Linked DNA regions of Daphnia pulex. Each later gene encodes a partner of the first gene's protein in a complex. Links are inferred from orthologs where the notes say so. Each region holds a gene or a part of one and is shown on either strand. Other genes may lie near its edges. The genes, in order: dystrobrevin beta-like and beta-1-syntrophin-like.

The links.
Region 2: dystrobrevin beta-like (region 1) and beta-1-syntrophin-like share a complex: the UniProt entries of both Caenorhabditis elegans proteins name them as parts of the dystrophin glycoprotein complex. The link is inferred for Daphnia pulex from reciprocal best matches to the Caenorhabditis elegans genes dyb-1 and stn-1.

Annotation. Positions count from the first base shown.
Region 1 is NC_060026.1:13,043,465-13,051,094, forward strand, and holds dystrobrevin beta-like, read right to left. Parts: upstream 5,166-7,630; 5' UTR 4,872-5,165; coding exon 4,745-4,871; intron 4,676-4,744; coding exon 4,462-4,675; intron 4,405-4,461; coding exon 4,316-4,404; intron 4,254-4,315; coding exon 4,102-4,253; intron 4,027-4,101; coding exon 3,915-4,026; intron 3,848-3,914; coding exon 3,672-3,847; intron 3,558-3,671; coding exon 3,546-3,557; intron 3,452-3,545; coding exon 3,306-3,451; intron 3,285-3,305; exon of another isoform or gene 3,213-3,284; intron 3,075-3,212; coding exon 2,796-3,074; intron 2,723-2,795; coding exon 2,554-2,722; intron 2,482-2,553; coding exon 2,256-2,481; intron 2,178-2,255; coding exon 2,107-2,177; 3' UTR 1,725-2,106; downstream 1-1,724. Other genes in the region: protein bark beetle-like, read right to left, coding at 421-699. UniProt on the Caenorhabditis elegans protein: Plays a role in cholinergic transmission and as a functional partner of dystrophin (dys-1), necessary for muscle maintenance. Required for localization of ctn-1 near dense bodies in muscle cells.
Region 2 is NC_060025.1:4,794,026-4,801,702, forward strand, and holds beta-1-syntrophin-like, read right to left. Parts: upstream 4,327-7,677; 5' UTR 4,003-4,326; intron 3,819-4,002; exon of another isoform or gene 3,658-3,818; intron 3,438-3,657; 5' UTR 3,431-3,437; coding exon 3,088-3,430; intron 3,010-3,087; coding exon 2,908-3,009; intron 2,351-2,907; coding exon 2,053-2,350; intron 1,984-2,052; coding exon 1,648-1,983; intron 1,577-1,647; coding exon 1,389-1,576; intron 1,326-1,388; coding exon 1,117-1,325; intron 1,042-1,116; coding exon 949-1,041; 3' UTR 676-948; downstream 1-675. UniProt on the Caenorhabditis elegans protein: Adapter protein that binds to and probably organizes the subcellular localization of a variety of membrane proteins. May link various receptors to the actin cytoskeleton and the dystrophin glycoprotein complex (DGC).

The DNA.
Region 1 (7,630 bases):
TCATTTTCGTTTAGGACGTTCACCTCGTTAATTTCGGACATGTGCTTGTGTATACGGGAACAAACCCGTAACCACAACCGTCATGGACATTGAAACCCGCAGATGATTTACCAATAATTTGATATAACAACCGCATTAAAAGAAGGAGAGACAAAAACCAAATTGTTCACAGTACGAGACAGATATCTGGCAACGCTTCAAATAATTTCCAAAGGAAATTTACTTTACCACATCCATCGATCAAAGATGGAATTATAAGTGGGTCATTCAAATTAAACCCTTTCATGCGTTGGATTTTGAATCCGAGACAAAGAAGAAAGTTCCCAAACGATACGACCCCGCCCGGAACGAATTCAATTCTCTTCACTAAACTTGTAAAATTGTTATAACAAATTTTTAAGAAAATTCAAAATGTGTTACCTTGGCTATGAGGGCACCTTTGACGAGAATCCCCGCACCTGGATGGAAGTTGATGACGACGCCCGACTCGATGTTGAGCGAACCCGTTTTTTCGATATGAATCACATCACGAATGTGGTAGGGACTGTGTGCCCTGGTCATGAACTGACTGTCCGTCACACTTGGGTTGAAGATGGACTCACTCACCGTTCGATGATGGCAAAGAATAACAAGGAAACAAGAGACGGCCAGCAATGTGGTCGTCGGCCACTTTGTGAAATGAAAGCGTCCAGGCTTCATCTCTAAATCGTTTGCAAAATTTTTCTTGTCTAATCGACTGGACGTTTTTTTTCTCACCAAGGGCACATTTTCCCTGCACCAGAGATCACACGATTTAGCAACGAAATCGCAATGAGGAATTGGAATGAAATTTTCGGTTAGACAGTTGCAGGTAGCGCGAGTGTAGGTTGGCAGCACTGTGTCGGGGCAACGGTCGACTCTCAACTGCCCCGCCTCACAACATTTGAAACTCTCCCGAGTCTTGAATGTGCAGCCAACTCCACCGTTTCTCTCTCCCCCACCCCAACGGCCTCAGCAACACACGAGAGAGGCCACTGTGTAAGTTAAGATGAAAAACAGTAAACTCCCTCGGGGCGTGTATACCTGTGGGATGTGAAGATACAAAAAAAATGCGGATGAAAAGGAGAACAGAAGAAAGAAAAAGGAAGGGAGTTCAAGAGGAGGTATATACTGACAGCACTGGGCCGGCCAACAATGGGGGATTTGTGGAGCTTACGGACGGACGGACGGAGCGCAGGTAGAAGAACAGGTCACGTGACTAAAAAGGAATGTGCGTGTGGAGAAGGAGGGTGGTTGAGAAAAACAGGTAGATAACAGCATTCGAACACCATCTAGCGTTTTCAAATACGATTATCGTGATTTGAAAATTTCAAATTTTGTTATTTTGGAAGGGTTTATTATTGCTGTTTGTTTTGCCAACAACAACAACAACACAAACACTCGTAACGAAACAACAATATAAATGTTCCAGTTTTTTTCACGAACTTTTTTACCTAAAAGAGGACGGGATTGAAGTATTCAGGAAGAGGCAACCACGCTAAATGTCTCCACATCGGCAAATAAACAGCACAGTTAACGAGTTTTCACATAACTATCTTTTAAAAAGTAATAATATGAGAGAGTTTCTGACTTGTAAATCTATTATTAGAACTAAGTAAAGAGCTGCCAGCCTTTTTTTTCTTTCTTTTTGGTCAGTCAGATCAATAAATCTTCTACTGATCGATCGAAATGTGGCACGGAGTGTGAGAAAACGAGAATTGAAAATTGAAATAACAATCTAATAGCAACAACAAGTAGTCCAGTGGAGAAAAAACAAAAACCGACCACAGCCATGTTACCTGGCTACACCTATGTTCCGTACATAGAGGCGCTATTACGACACACTGATTGAAAGGAGGCAGAAATGCATCTTGAGGATTATGCATTACCTTTCTTTAAAGGCTACCGAAATATAAATGGAGATTTTAAGTAATCGGGCAGTACGAGGTAACCAAATAACTGGTGGTACTTATCATAACAGTAAAGATGGGGGTGGGGAGAACTTAATCCAGAACAACTGAAAAGTGAGATGGAGAGGAATGACGGCCATACGTGACAAAACCAAAAGTGGGCAAGAGTTTTTTTTTCTTAAACGCAAGTATTATTCGAGTCGTTTGACAACCCGTTGAAAATCCGAGCCGATTCATCTTCGCTAGTATCTGGAAAAATGTATACAAACAAACAACACATTTTAGTCCATCCTTATTTGACTGGTTTCAAATATAGCATAATCTCACCCCCGTTATATTCGAGAACTAGACTGCTCATGGCGTCCGTCACTGAATCGGCAGCACTCATCAAATCTTGGCGCCAATCAAAGCTGCCTGTGTTGAAATTACGATTGGGATTATCCATTGACGGGGTGATGGCGGCTTGGTGGGATTCGGCCTCGACCGAAGGACTTTTCCCACGGCTTGGGGTAGAAGACGTAGATGGAGTAGAACGGGGCGATAGCTGCTGATTCTGGGAATTGAAAAACGAGGAGTCACATGTTAAGAGCCGCACTATTTGAGAACCAAGGATTTCTCAAATTACTTTGATCATCTTCATTAGCGATTCCAATTGCACCATAAGTTGTTTGCGAGAGTCTTGTAATCCATTCAGTTGCTGTTCAAGCTCCGATTTCCTCTGCCGCAGAACGCTCAACTCTTCCATGAGGGGATAAGGTCCCGTTATGACCCCTTCATCCATTTCCTGCTCGTGACTGCACAGAGATCAATAGAATTTAGGCCAAACTTCTTTAAAATGTAAACCAACAGAAACACGGGGGGTCGTACCGAATACGAGCAATTTCTCTGAGAATTTCTTGGTTTTTATTCTCAAGCTGAGCCAATAGTTGGTGTGCACTGGTGCTGCTACTCTCTTGCTCCGGACGAGGATCCTTCTGATTTTCTGCTAATTTAGCGGCATAGCGCGCAATCAATCCGTGTTCATCATCTCCGCGTTGCCACGAACGACTCAAACTTCCCGTGTTATTTTGCACTTGGCTGGTCTTCCATGTCTCGCTACCTCCCAATAGAGAAGCGTTGCGTTCCAATGTCGCTGATGGCGTTGAACTATAAAAATGAAAGGAAAATGCATGCATTAATTACTAATTGGACTATGAAAAATTCTAAGTGGTTTATTATGGGGTAATATGTAATTCTAAGTCTAAAATAGCGATCAGATAATTAAAAAATGGGAATTAAAAAGGTTTCCCATACCGGGAATCGAACCCGAGCCTCTTGGGTGAAAGCCAAGTATCCTAGCCACTAGACCATATGGGATATACCAAAAGGGCTTCTTACATATACGTGACTGCAACGGGTCTCTCTGGACCCTCTAGTGTTCTCCAAACTTTGGTACGATTCTGGTCGTAGTCGGACGTGGGGCTTCTCACGCACTGAAGGGAACGCCTCAAAGATGCCGAAAACACCGATTCCTTTGGGGTTTTCTACATTAAACGTCAGGAAATTAAAAAATAACAGTTAATTCTAGCCAAAACGGTTCGTTTAGCTTGCCAATCTATAGCATGCTCACTTATATACCTCTTCTGCTGCCTGAAGCATCAGTAAGCGTGAATAAATAAACGAGCATATAATAAGCATATCAAACGGCGTTTAAGAGATATCCCAGTCAAAAGATTTCGTTATCTAATGCCCCTTTCAACATACCGGCGTGTGATGCTCGCGAATCTCGTGATCGGCATTATGCGACTCCGAAAAAGAAAGTCCACGCCAAAAACATTCTTGACACTGATGGCTCCATGCCGAAGGACATTTGGTACACTTGTATCGTAAACCGCTGAAACGGGTGCGTCCACAAGAAACGCATTCCACGGGATGAACGACTGCAAGCAATTAAAAAAGGTAATTTCAACGGTCAAGAGCATCCAATATGACGTTCTTGGGTATTACCATTTTCGGCAGCTGCGATACGATGTATGAGAGGAAGCCAAACCAATGACGGAGCTGCCGCAGGGTCACCCAAGAGGACGTCAAGGAATTCATTTACACTCACTTTGGAACCCTGTTATGAAAAAGATATAAGATCAAGTTCTTAATAGAGCTGTAAAGAATACAACAAACTCATTAAAATAAATACATTTGGAAAGATTTCTTGAGCCATTGCCGGCCTGTAATGAAATGAAGGCTCTTCTCCAACTGCAGCTGTTAGAACAAAACACTGACGCATGAAGTCTTCAAATTTTGGGGCAACAAGCTGTCCATTCGAGTCAGACATTTGAGAAAAAGCATCTGGAAGCAAATGCATTTGTGTTAAATCCAAGTTTGTGAGTAAGAAGGAATAGGTAGCCTACAGCGAAGCTTATCTGCCAACTTTCCACCACACAGCACGGCTAAAATCATTTTGATTGTAAAGACAGGGATCCTATCAGTTTCTTCATTCCTGTAAAAGATTGTAATTTTATAGAGCTCCATTTGGCAAAGTATTATCATCACTTACAGGTTGTAAACAGACACAATCCACTTGATAAGATACATGGTCGCAGGATCAACATGAAGCTGTTGCCCAATGGGGACCCGTTTGTTTAAATGAACATACAGGGTGTTTATCAAAGTCTCAAGTCGACTGAGAGTCATAGGTGTGTAGGGCTCCACCGAATTCAATCCATTTTCTCTGAAGGCCTCAATTAGATTCCACACATCGATAAGGTGCACTGTAGAGATAACAACCAAATGAATTCAATTCAACTAGAAAATATTTTAGGAATGTATGAATGTGTTACAATGAGTTCTTCGCTGAATGAAACGGAATTTGACAGCCGTCCGATAAGAAGCTAGACGAATGACGTTGAAATTCTGCGTGTGGATGTCATTTGCCAAGTCCAATTTGCCCGACTCATTTTGTTCCATACTGATCCTAGATATTCAATTATATTCACGTACAACGATCGATTTTCAAACACCCGAGAGGTAGTAGAGTGAATTAGCTTGGTATTCAAAGCCTGCTAAAATCAGAACTGCTTTAGTGCTACCGCTAAGCCGATCTGTACGACTTCGTGAGAAAGAACTAGCAAAACAACAAGCACCCTGCACTTTGATATTATGCAGCACATGCAAAAACAAGGATATAGCTTGATCAGCTGTTTGGAATGCTAAACTAGCTGCAGCGCCTTCTCTGAAGTTGTTGATACTAAACAGACTGCATGGAGCATGCCCGAGCACGCCACATAACGTCGTAACCCTCGTCTAGAAATTCCCAATATAACGCTTGTGTGATTTATTTTCCAAACATGGTTAGAGTGTAAGACGTCTGGTGTGTTGGTCGATAAGTAAATACAAGCGGCAGATTGATATCTATTTGAAGTTTTCAAATCTCGCCTCAGATTTCTAGCAAGCCATAAAGTAAATGCCCTTAGCGATAGCCATACAACCTAACGTAACTTTGATTAAAAAAGGAGATGTTTTGAGGCTTGGAGCAAAGGGTAAAAAGACGTCCAGCACACAAGGATTGATTATAACTTGCTAATTCAAATTACTATGCAAAATGTGAAGTAAACCAAACCTCCTGCTGGGATTTCAATTAGTAGCACAAGCACATGCGTTTAAATTGCGGATGTTTGGCTACTACTGGCTTTTTATGGGTACTGTAAATGGTGAAAATTCGAAACTGTAAAAAGATATGTTCACGGAAAGCTATTATTCCAATTTCCGTACTCCACCCACTTGTAGTTTGTTTATATTTATAAAAACGAGGACACGGGATATCCGCCTTCTTTATTAATGAAATAGCCGCTTGTATTTTAGTAAGTGTGTAAAATATTTGTATGTAATTTACAGCATTTTTTCACTCTTAGTTCTCTTTTTAATATTTATTTATTTAATAACACCACTCAGAACACGCTGACTTCCTTCCAGTTTCTCACAAGGAGATACCGGAAACGGTCCTCAATGGACAAGAGTAGATACTACCGAAGCAGTTACACTCCCGACCTGCTTCACGCTCAGAAGCCAGCGTCGTTACTCCTCATCGTGGGTTGAAAGGAGACAAGTTTCTGGTGGGAAACAAGTCAAGATATACTACAGAAATGATCCTGTGAAGTATGATCTTAATTAGTCGTTGGTTTGGCGCAAGTATTTGATGTTTTCATAAAAAGAAACAGCAGTGACGTAACTGAATGCTTCAAAATACAATCTGTAGACGTATACACAAATATTTCGTTCTAGTAATTGCACAGTGCACGAAACTGTAACTTGAAGTAGAGTGTTCACTTAACGAATATTATTAATCTTGATAAGAAAGAGGTATAAATATATAATTCTCAAAATTAGAGACGATACTGGAACCGAGACTGCAAATTTATAGTTTTTTTTTTTCTATTCCTGCCTAGTGTTGGAATGTTGCCACATTTACCATATTATTACCGCTTGCCGCTTGGAATGTCCAAGACTCCAAGCATGCTCCAGAAGCGGGAACATTTAAATCTGGATTGATATCAAGTAATCGACGTGGAAGTTTCTCTTTAGTCTGGCTTTCTAGAAGTTTTTAGTTTTTCTATTTATGTTGGTGTTGGAAAGTTGCCACATTATCACATTATCAACGCTGGTAATATTCAAGTGGGAAAATTAAAATCGGGATTGAACTCAAGTATCGTACTCGACGTGAAAGTATGCGAAAATTGCGGAAAAATGGTCGTGGAAACTTGTTTCACTATTCTAATCAAAACGTGCTATGATCATCAATACCCAGACATCACTTAGCGGATTACGATTCGTGAGCCGGGAACTTTCTTCTCGGGAGTTTGAGTCGGATGGAGTAAGCAGGTATATACAGACAAAGTAAAGAGGAAACTTGCTAGCCGGTGCGGGAATGGTATAAACGGGTGCGGTTTACTCTAAAACCTTATTGACTGGGGTCTGGCAAAGAATAGACAGGGAACTTGGAGGCCAATGGTGGAGTTTACAGGGGTTGTTTAGATAACACGAGTGAAATGAGTTGGAAACAGAGGGAGCCGGAGCGGAGTAGAAGGAGAGGGTTTGTATATGTAGGGTTTACTTTGTTTCCCTTTTTTACTTGTCATCAGACACGAATACCTTCCGTATCCGTCAACCTTGTGGGTAACGATTTCAAGAGCGGGAGACAGGGAGAAGAGTCCGGTAGGAGCCTGTTGTAACCACTACTCTCCGAGTGACTGTATGGTTACAGCAAGTGTATAGTCATCCTGGGCTGATCCCTAATAAAACGTCATTAGCAAGAGTTTCTTTGTTTCATGATACATTTCTAATAGTACCAAATGGTTTTCTGTTTTGAAAAGTTTAAATGTTTTGAGTGCCAACGTGCCACGAGTTCGGGAATGTTTTATTTCATTTGGATGTTTAGACTAGGTTCAAAGATTGGTAAAACGACTCACACATAAAAAGACAAAGGTTACTAGAGAAAAGGGCAAATAAAAGACAAGTCAATTAGAAAAAATAGGACTCGTCTTGAATCATTCGCATAGGAGAGACAGATAGGCACAACACGTCATGGTATTGGTATCAAATGCATTACAAGTTGCACTCGTTTCGGTCATAATTTCATTTCGGCTCAGAGAAAATGCTGCGGCGATAAAATCAGCCGCAAGTCAATTTAAATTAAACAAAGCAAAGCCTAAACCGCGTTTGGAAGAAAG
Region 2 (7,677 bases), on another chromosome or scaffold:
TGTTCAGTGCAAATGATCTTAAAAAAGTCTTTATCAAATCAACCGCAAAAAACCAGTTTAAGGAATGCGAATTTTTCGATTATATCAGCTCGAGCCGGTTTGCTCCTGTTTCTAGATGGTTCATATAACATTTGCGTGATATTGCCAAAAGCGATAGGAATTGCTAAAAGGCCCCAATAGCTTGTGGGCGCATCCTTTCCATTTCAGTTTTCATCTTGTTCTGACTTTGCATAATCATTTGAAATGTTCGTCTTGTCTATCTAACAGCAAGAATCTCCGAAATCCAAGTACGTACTTTCAAAGACAGATCTGATGGCGGTGCTCCAAGCTATATGCTCACAATTGTTCCTTTTCAAACCTACTCGACAACAAATGCCATCTAGTTAGACGGCCAGCAACACTAATAATGTAAATTTTTCAGAATATTCAACAACAATTTACAAGTTCGTAGTAGTAAAAATGCTTGGGTTCGGAGAAAACATTCCACGAAGAATATTATATACTATATATTTTTTCCTATGCATACACACGCCTCAAAGTCAAATTCCCTTCATTTTCTCTACGTGACCGGGGATTTAATCTTGAGATGTCTGGAAATCAGGAGCGTGATTGACCCATATATAATAAACTACCAATGACACTCTTTTTTCTTTATCAAAATATAAGATAACCTAATTAGAGGTGTTGAGAAAAACTTGTAAATTTTCTCAGACAGTGTATTAAAGATATAAAGTGTTGTAAACAAAATGATATAGACCAATCTAACTTTGACAAGTAGACTGATCCTTTAGCTGTATGTTTCTCTCACACAGTAGCTGACAAGAAATAGAATATTTACTTCTCGTAACTGGCGTCTTCGCTCTTGGTATAAACTTTTGTCTTCGGCAGGCATAAACGGAATTATGATTGATGGAAAGAAATAGTTGCAAAAGATCTTTCGCCGGAAAATCACGTGATCATCCCCATACGATTGATTTTACCGGATAAAAAAGAATGTAAAGTAAACACAAACGGCTTCGGGCATGTTAACATGTCCAACTCCTGGAGATAAAACAAATTTGGCGGGATTAAAGCTATTTCTTATCTTCAAACTAATATTTTTCTCTGATGACTTACCATTTCCCCTTCTTCATTTCCGATATCAAGCCACAAAATGCGCACGCCATCATCGGCTGAATGGCGTAAATTGCCAAAGGAAGCTTTCCAAAATGGAACAGGCAACGTGTTAGATCGTTCAGCAGACTGCATCTCGCTAGCTGGATACAGTTTCAAGCCGTCTTCATAGTGCAGATAAAGGCGAGCCTCTTGTCCTCGCCACAAACAATCTAAATAATATTCAATCAATTACGATCCTAGAATTTTTAATAATGATGTAAAACTTATAATACCCCAAGCAGCTTCTCTGATGGCAACGACACAGTTATGTGTTCCTGTAACAAGGCCACGGGCCCACAAAGTTAAATCGCGTTCGCATTCCGCACGGAATACGCGATTGACTACTCCTTTTGATGTTCCAGTACGAATGCAAAAGGTGCAGTACTCTCCCTCCGAATTGCTCTTGTTGCTGCTTACCAACCTAATTATAAAAGATAAATATCGTTCAAATAGATTAGGAGATGGAATTAGAAATAATAATAATAATAATACCTGGTCATTAGAAGTGGTATGCGAGCACTCGGCTTTGTCCAGCCATCAATACTCCACGGTACCGAGTCATAAAGCAAGACATCACGATCGGTCAAGGCCACAAATACCGGTTGCCAATTTTCGCTCATCAGGGATGATGGCTCATTGCCATGACTGTTCAAACTTCCATTATCCATATTGACACTATTCTGGGCGTCTTTAGGTCGGTGACCCAAGAGAGCCAGCCAACCCCACATCCGTATGGAAGCCGTGTTCAATGCTTTCGCAATCCGATGCCCATTCTCGGCTAAACCACGTGAAGATAACACCGAAAGGGTCGTGTGCAAGGATACAAACCTGACAGTAATAATGGTTTTTATTTAAAAAACAAAATTCAATCATTAAAAAATGATTAGAAATTTTTACCATTGGGATGCTTGCGTGGTGTCTGGTGCACGAAGAAGGCAAGATTGTAATCCATCGGGTGAATGAATTTCCAAAATACGGTGATCATTTTTCTTGGCCGCTTTCAGCCGCCTGGCTAGGTAACAAAAGAGAAGAGGGACCGATCGCGTATCCGGTTTGGTCGATGTTTGGGCGACGTGGGAAAAGCCCAGGAATTGGCGCTGCAACTCCCATCCGATGTCGCTGAGAAGCGAAGCTTTTCGAATGTACGGCGTCACCTCGCGGAGATACTTCACTGCAATGTAGAATGATGTCACCACTAAGCCACAACACAAACGGCCAGCGAGGGAGTCGATCGTGGAGGTAATAAAAAACGAGAAAGGGATCATGCATCAAACAAGTCATCTATATGACGGATACTGGTGATCAACCTAGCAGGGAAGCAGGCGGTGAAACTTAATAAAAATAAAATAAAATAAAAACGAAATGGGCAGAAACTGAAAAAAAAAAAAGCTAACTCGGAAACTTGCACAAAAACTAAAACAAAAACAAACCAACAAGAAATGTGAAAGAAAAAAGCCAACTAAATTACTTTTCAAGGAATACTTGATAATGCGAGGTGTGACGGAATAATAATACACGCAACCGAGCAAAAAAATGCCAGAGCAATGCAAGCAGACACTCTTTCAATATGATCAAACCTGTTTTATACGATATTACATGGTCGTTGAGAGATGGACAGGTTCTGATAGAGCTAACGGAATGAAAGAAGTAAGGGAAGAAAATGAGTCTATCCACGACAACTTTCTCCAGTTCATCAATAAAAGAAAAGTTGATGTGGATAACTCCAACAGTATCCGTCTATGTACACGGTACCTTCCAATTCAACAGTATTTTCAGCGGTCTTCAAAGCAGAAACGGCCTCGTCGTGCGTTGCGTTATGTAAATCTTCTCCATTGACAGACAGAATAGCATCCCCTATTTAAGAAGAAAAATTATATTGAGTCGATTATTACTCTCATTAGAACTAGAACAGTAAAAGTTTAAGGATATTACCAACATAAAGCTGTTCAGTTCGATCAGCTGGCAATCCCTTGAAAATTTTAGAAATCAAAATGGGCATTCGGTTTTCTCGGCCGCCTTTAATTGATATGCCTAAACCAGTATTGTCCGATTTAACTATACGGACGATTCGTTTCTGATTGGCCAATGAATCTCGATATTGTTCAGCTGAAATTGCTGATGTGTTGAGAGTTTCTGCGCCATCTCTTTGGTTTGTTGAAGGATTTTCTAGTGTAATAAACAAACACCCGGCATCACCATTTAAAGTTGCAGTCGCTGGGTGCCATTCCTCTTTAGCCCATACTTCCACCTGACCGCTTCTGTCATAATTGGTCATTTCTATTCTGTAAATAATAGAAATAGAATTACTAACACCACCTGAGAAGAATATAACCAATAGTAACAATTATTGAAAGCTACATAATATCTAACGATAACAACGAAATAAATTAATAGCTTCGAGAAACGTTTAGTGAAAATATGGTCGCGCCTGCTCATCTTTAACTACATCCATCTGTTTCTAATTTGCTGCTCTAGATGCACATACACATGAACTAACCTTACCTTTTATTACACGCGTGGAACTTGTAATCACATCACTGTATTTTGTTTCTAAATTTGTATCTAATTGTTCTATATCTATAATAACAATCAGTCACTTTCGAGACTGAATCGTGTCTGAACTGTAAACACACACTTGTGGTTACCTAATAATCACTAGAGACATCTAACGTGATAACTATCAAGTAACCAAATCAGCCACGCCCGGTATGTGCTCCTTGACTTCTTGCTCGAAGGCTTCCTGCTGTTACTGTTTTCATAATATAAAAATACTGCCATTTCTATCTTTTTGTTGTTGCTGTCACTATTTAGTTGATAGAAGTTTAAGCGTAGTTTGAGTGAACTTACCTTTATTTTACAGTTCTTGCATAGCACAGCTACATATATAACATCCAGATTCGGTTAAATTTTGTGAGGTTCAGTGCTCCACTGCCTAGTGGTCGGTGTAACTCCTTCAGTAACATTAACCAGGCTTCTCCTCTATAATAAAATGTACACTCGACAAATTCTTGGGACGTAGCCCAACAGTTTACCCATATCACGTTTCTTCTCTATCCTTTACCTCTACTCTTGCTTAAAACGAAACGGCTGAACCAAGGTTTCGTTATGACGTTAGTCGGCAAAAGAATGGGTCAATTTCAAGCTTGACATTGCTTGAAGTCCCTTAGGTTTTTACTGCCGATACTGCCGCTTTGACTTTGTGTTGATTCGTGGGTTCAATGCGGGCCCGCATGATTTTTTTTCCCGGATGTCTTTTCGTAATACTTTTCAGTGGATACATTGTATATACTAGGGCTCGCGTTGCAAGCGTTGGCCTTCGGCTAAGTGACAGAGCTATCTTGGAAGAATTTTGGAATTAGGCAGTCTTGTTCTTGTGCTTCATTTTCTTGTCGTTATTTTTTATTTTACTCTGTAATTTTTTATTTTATTGTACTCTGTATACTCTTCTACTTTTTTAAAACACTGACCATAAAAAAAAAAAAGAACGACGTTGCATTTATAAATTTTCATTTCGACAAAAATAAACAAATAAGGAAGAAGGACAAATTAACATTTTTAGCGGAAGTAAAATAAACTTTTTGTCTGGGAATTCCAAACCTGGTCGGTATATACCTCATTTCTCGAAGTTTGGTGATACTTGATGAATACACTTTTCTGCCGTGTAATCAACCTCAGCTTCGGTGGTGAATCGCCCAATTCCAAATCGAATAGAAGAATGCGCCAAATCTTCTTCAGCGCCAATGGTCCGCAAAATATATGAAAGTTCCAGCAATGCTGAGGTGCAAGTACTTCCGCTTGAGAGTGCCACGTCTTACGTAATAAAAAGAATTAGTTAAAATGAAAGGTAGTGGAAGTTGCCTTTAAAGTTACCTTTCAGGGCCATGAAAAGACTTTCTCCCTCGACGTAGGCGAAAGAAAGGTTTACACAACCTGGGTAGGAGTGTTCAGGATCTCAATTTCGTACGACATGTGTTAAACTATTACCAATCTGATCGATCAAGCGTTGCGATAGTTTACTAATCTGGCATGATTATACTAAAACATGGTTTTGATCAATTAGTTATGTATGGATACTACTATGACATGAACTAAAACCTTAAGTTCTTGCTGAGCTACTTCACATGCTGCGCCAAAACCAACTGTCACTCTGTCAGTGGAGTAGGAACTGTTCCACCACGTATCCCTCATTCCTGACCACCTCCAGATTGCAGAGCTTCAATCCTAACCCGTGGTCGGCCTATCACGTAAAGAGCACCAACACCTTTTGTTCAAGTTCAAGAAAATAATGATGCGAAAAAAGAGTGAATTACATCGAAATAACAATCATATATTAAATTGTAAAATACCTTTATAAATCAATTGACATCGATTCAACATCAATTGGAATTTTACCTAGAGCTTGGGCTCCATCACAGTGGAAAAACACTTTAGCTTTTCGACACATAGCATCTAATGATGAAAAAATTATGTATAGAAATAGAACATTAGACTCTACAATGATTATGTGTGTGTCTCACCTATTTCTGCTATGGAATAATTTGCCATGTCAGGAAGCATTGCAACTAATACCCTTGTAAGTATCGACTCTAGCCACAAGTTGGTAACTGGAAGTTGGTCACTGGAAGTTGGTCACTGGAAGTTGGTCATTGTAAGTTGGTCACTGTAAGTTGATCCATGCTACATTTACTCCTGTAGAACAAATTCAGTTTAAAGATTAAACTTTTCTGCATCTGGGCGATTACGAATTACCAGTTGTAAACATGTAGTTTGGCACAGGTGGGTTGGCACTGTTTCGATATACTGAAGAACATGCTGAGTTCCTGAAATGACTTAATTTAGTAAGAGACCAATTATTTAACTGTTGACACAAGTTGCTGAATGTTTAATCGTTTTTTTTTCAATGGAAGCAACTGTTGGTATGTGTCTGTGGACTAGGACTAGGACATAACAAAAAGCTGAATGAATACAGTGAAACTTGGGAATACCGAAACATTAAATATTAACTTAAATAAAATTCGGAAGTAAACGCCAATTTTTGTTAGGCATGGAAAACATTTTGAATTACTTTTCCTTTGATAATATAATACACGAATCTTCGAATGCATTCTAAATCTGTTGTTTGTTTACATTTACATTTCTATCACAAAAACTACCCCTGGGTATACCACGCAATTCCATTTTCAGGTTTCGGCGGTGACTGAAAAATGTGGGACCGTGAGTTGAAAATCGCGTGGCAGGGAGTATAGGCTTCACTGAATTTCCGATTTTATATCGATCGGTAAATCGAGACGGGAGCCAATAGCAAGGCCAGATTTCGGTCACGTGGGGGTAGTTTTTCTCTCTAAGCTCCGCCTTTTCCCATTTCCTTCCAGGGAGACTTTTGAGCTCTACGGGAACCCTGTTAAGGCCCTCGGCAGGCTAAAGCCTTAGCCTCAGGGACCAACGTATACACCTCAACTACCTTGTTCTTGTCTGGAATAATGGTGTACTTGTGCCGAGAGAGAATCCTTATTATTCACCCGTATTCACGGTAATATTTCGGGTCGTTCAAGCTTAATCGATTCAAAATTAAGCTCCTTTTTTAAACCACCAAAGAGTATACAGTATCCTCTCACGTATATCTCCAGTTAAATGAATTAAACCTTATTTACTAATAAATCTACGATGCGTAATTAATCTAACGAATAATGTCCCAAAACGATTTTTTTTTTCAATGTAATAAATACAATTTTTAAATCGGATCTCGCCATATGGATCGCAAGAAAACTGAAACAAGAATACCCGATATTTGAACTAGAAATAATTATTTCGAAAGTTTTGCCGTGTTTAAAACGAAATGTACCTCGTCAATACAGTAATCAATTCATGATTAAAACGCACCAGAAAAAAACAAGCAATGAATCTTCACGTGTGTACTTAGCAAGATGAAAATCTAAAAATCACAAACCATAGAAATAGGATAGGGTAAAAAAAAAAACATTAATGCAAATGGCACATTTCTGGAATATCTGTTAACTGATTAACATTATTGAAAAAAAAACCTATAACTAAGTCGGCACTGGTCTTGGGTTAATAATCGTAATAAAACAGAACACCGAAATTAATTCATAAACATATATATTCCTAATTAAATTTTAGGGGGTTCGCAAATATTACCTATCCCAAATAATTAATATTTGCTAACCTCTAATGATCCTTAATCAACCATAGCAAAATATATTTAAAGTCAATTTCCAGCATTATTAGACCGTTCCACGTTCATAAACAGGATGCAGACTTGTTTCAATGTCGTCAATCTCAAGTGGGCACGGTACGGTTCTATTAATCTCCAGCGCTTGGCTGGATTGGGTGTAGCCATAGTGCTACACCCAATGATTCAGGCTACAATAAGGCACATCATTCCACTTATGCTGTATTTGTGTAACACATTCAGATCATGGGATTCTTGTTGCTGGTTTATTATTATTTGTTTTGCATTGTTTTTCCTTGGGTGAGACTATGGTCGGGAATTGGCTTCAATTC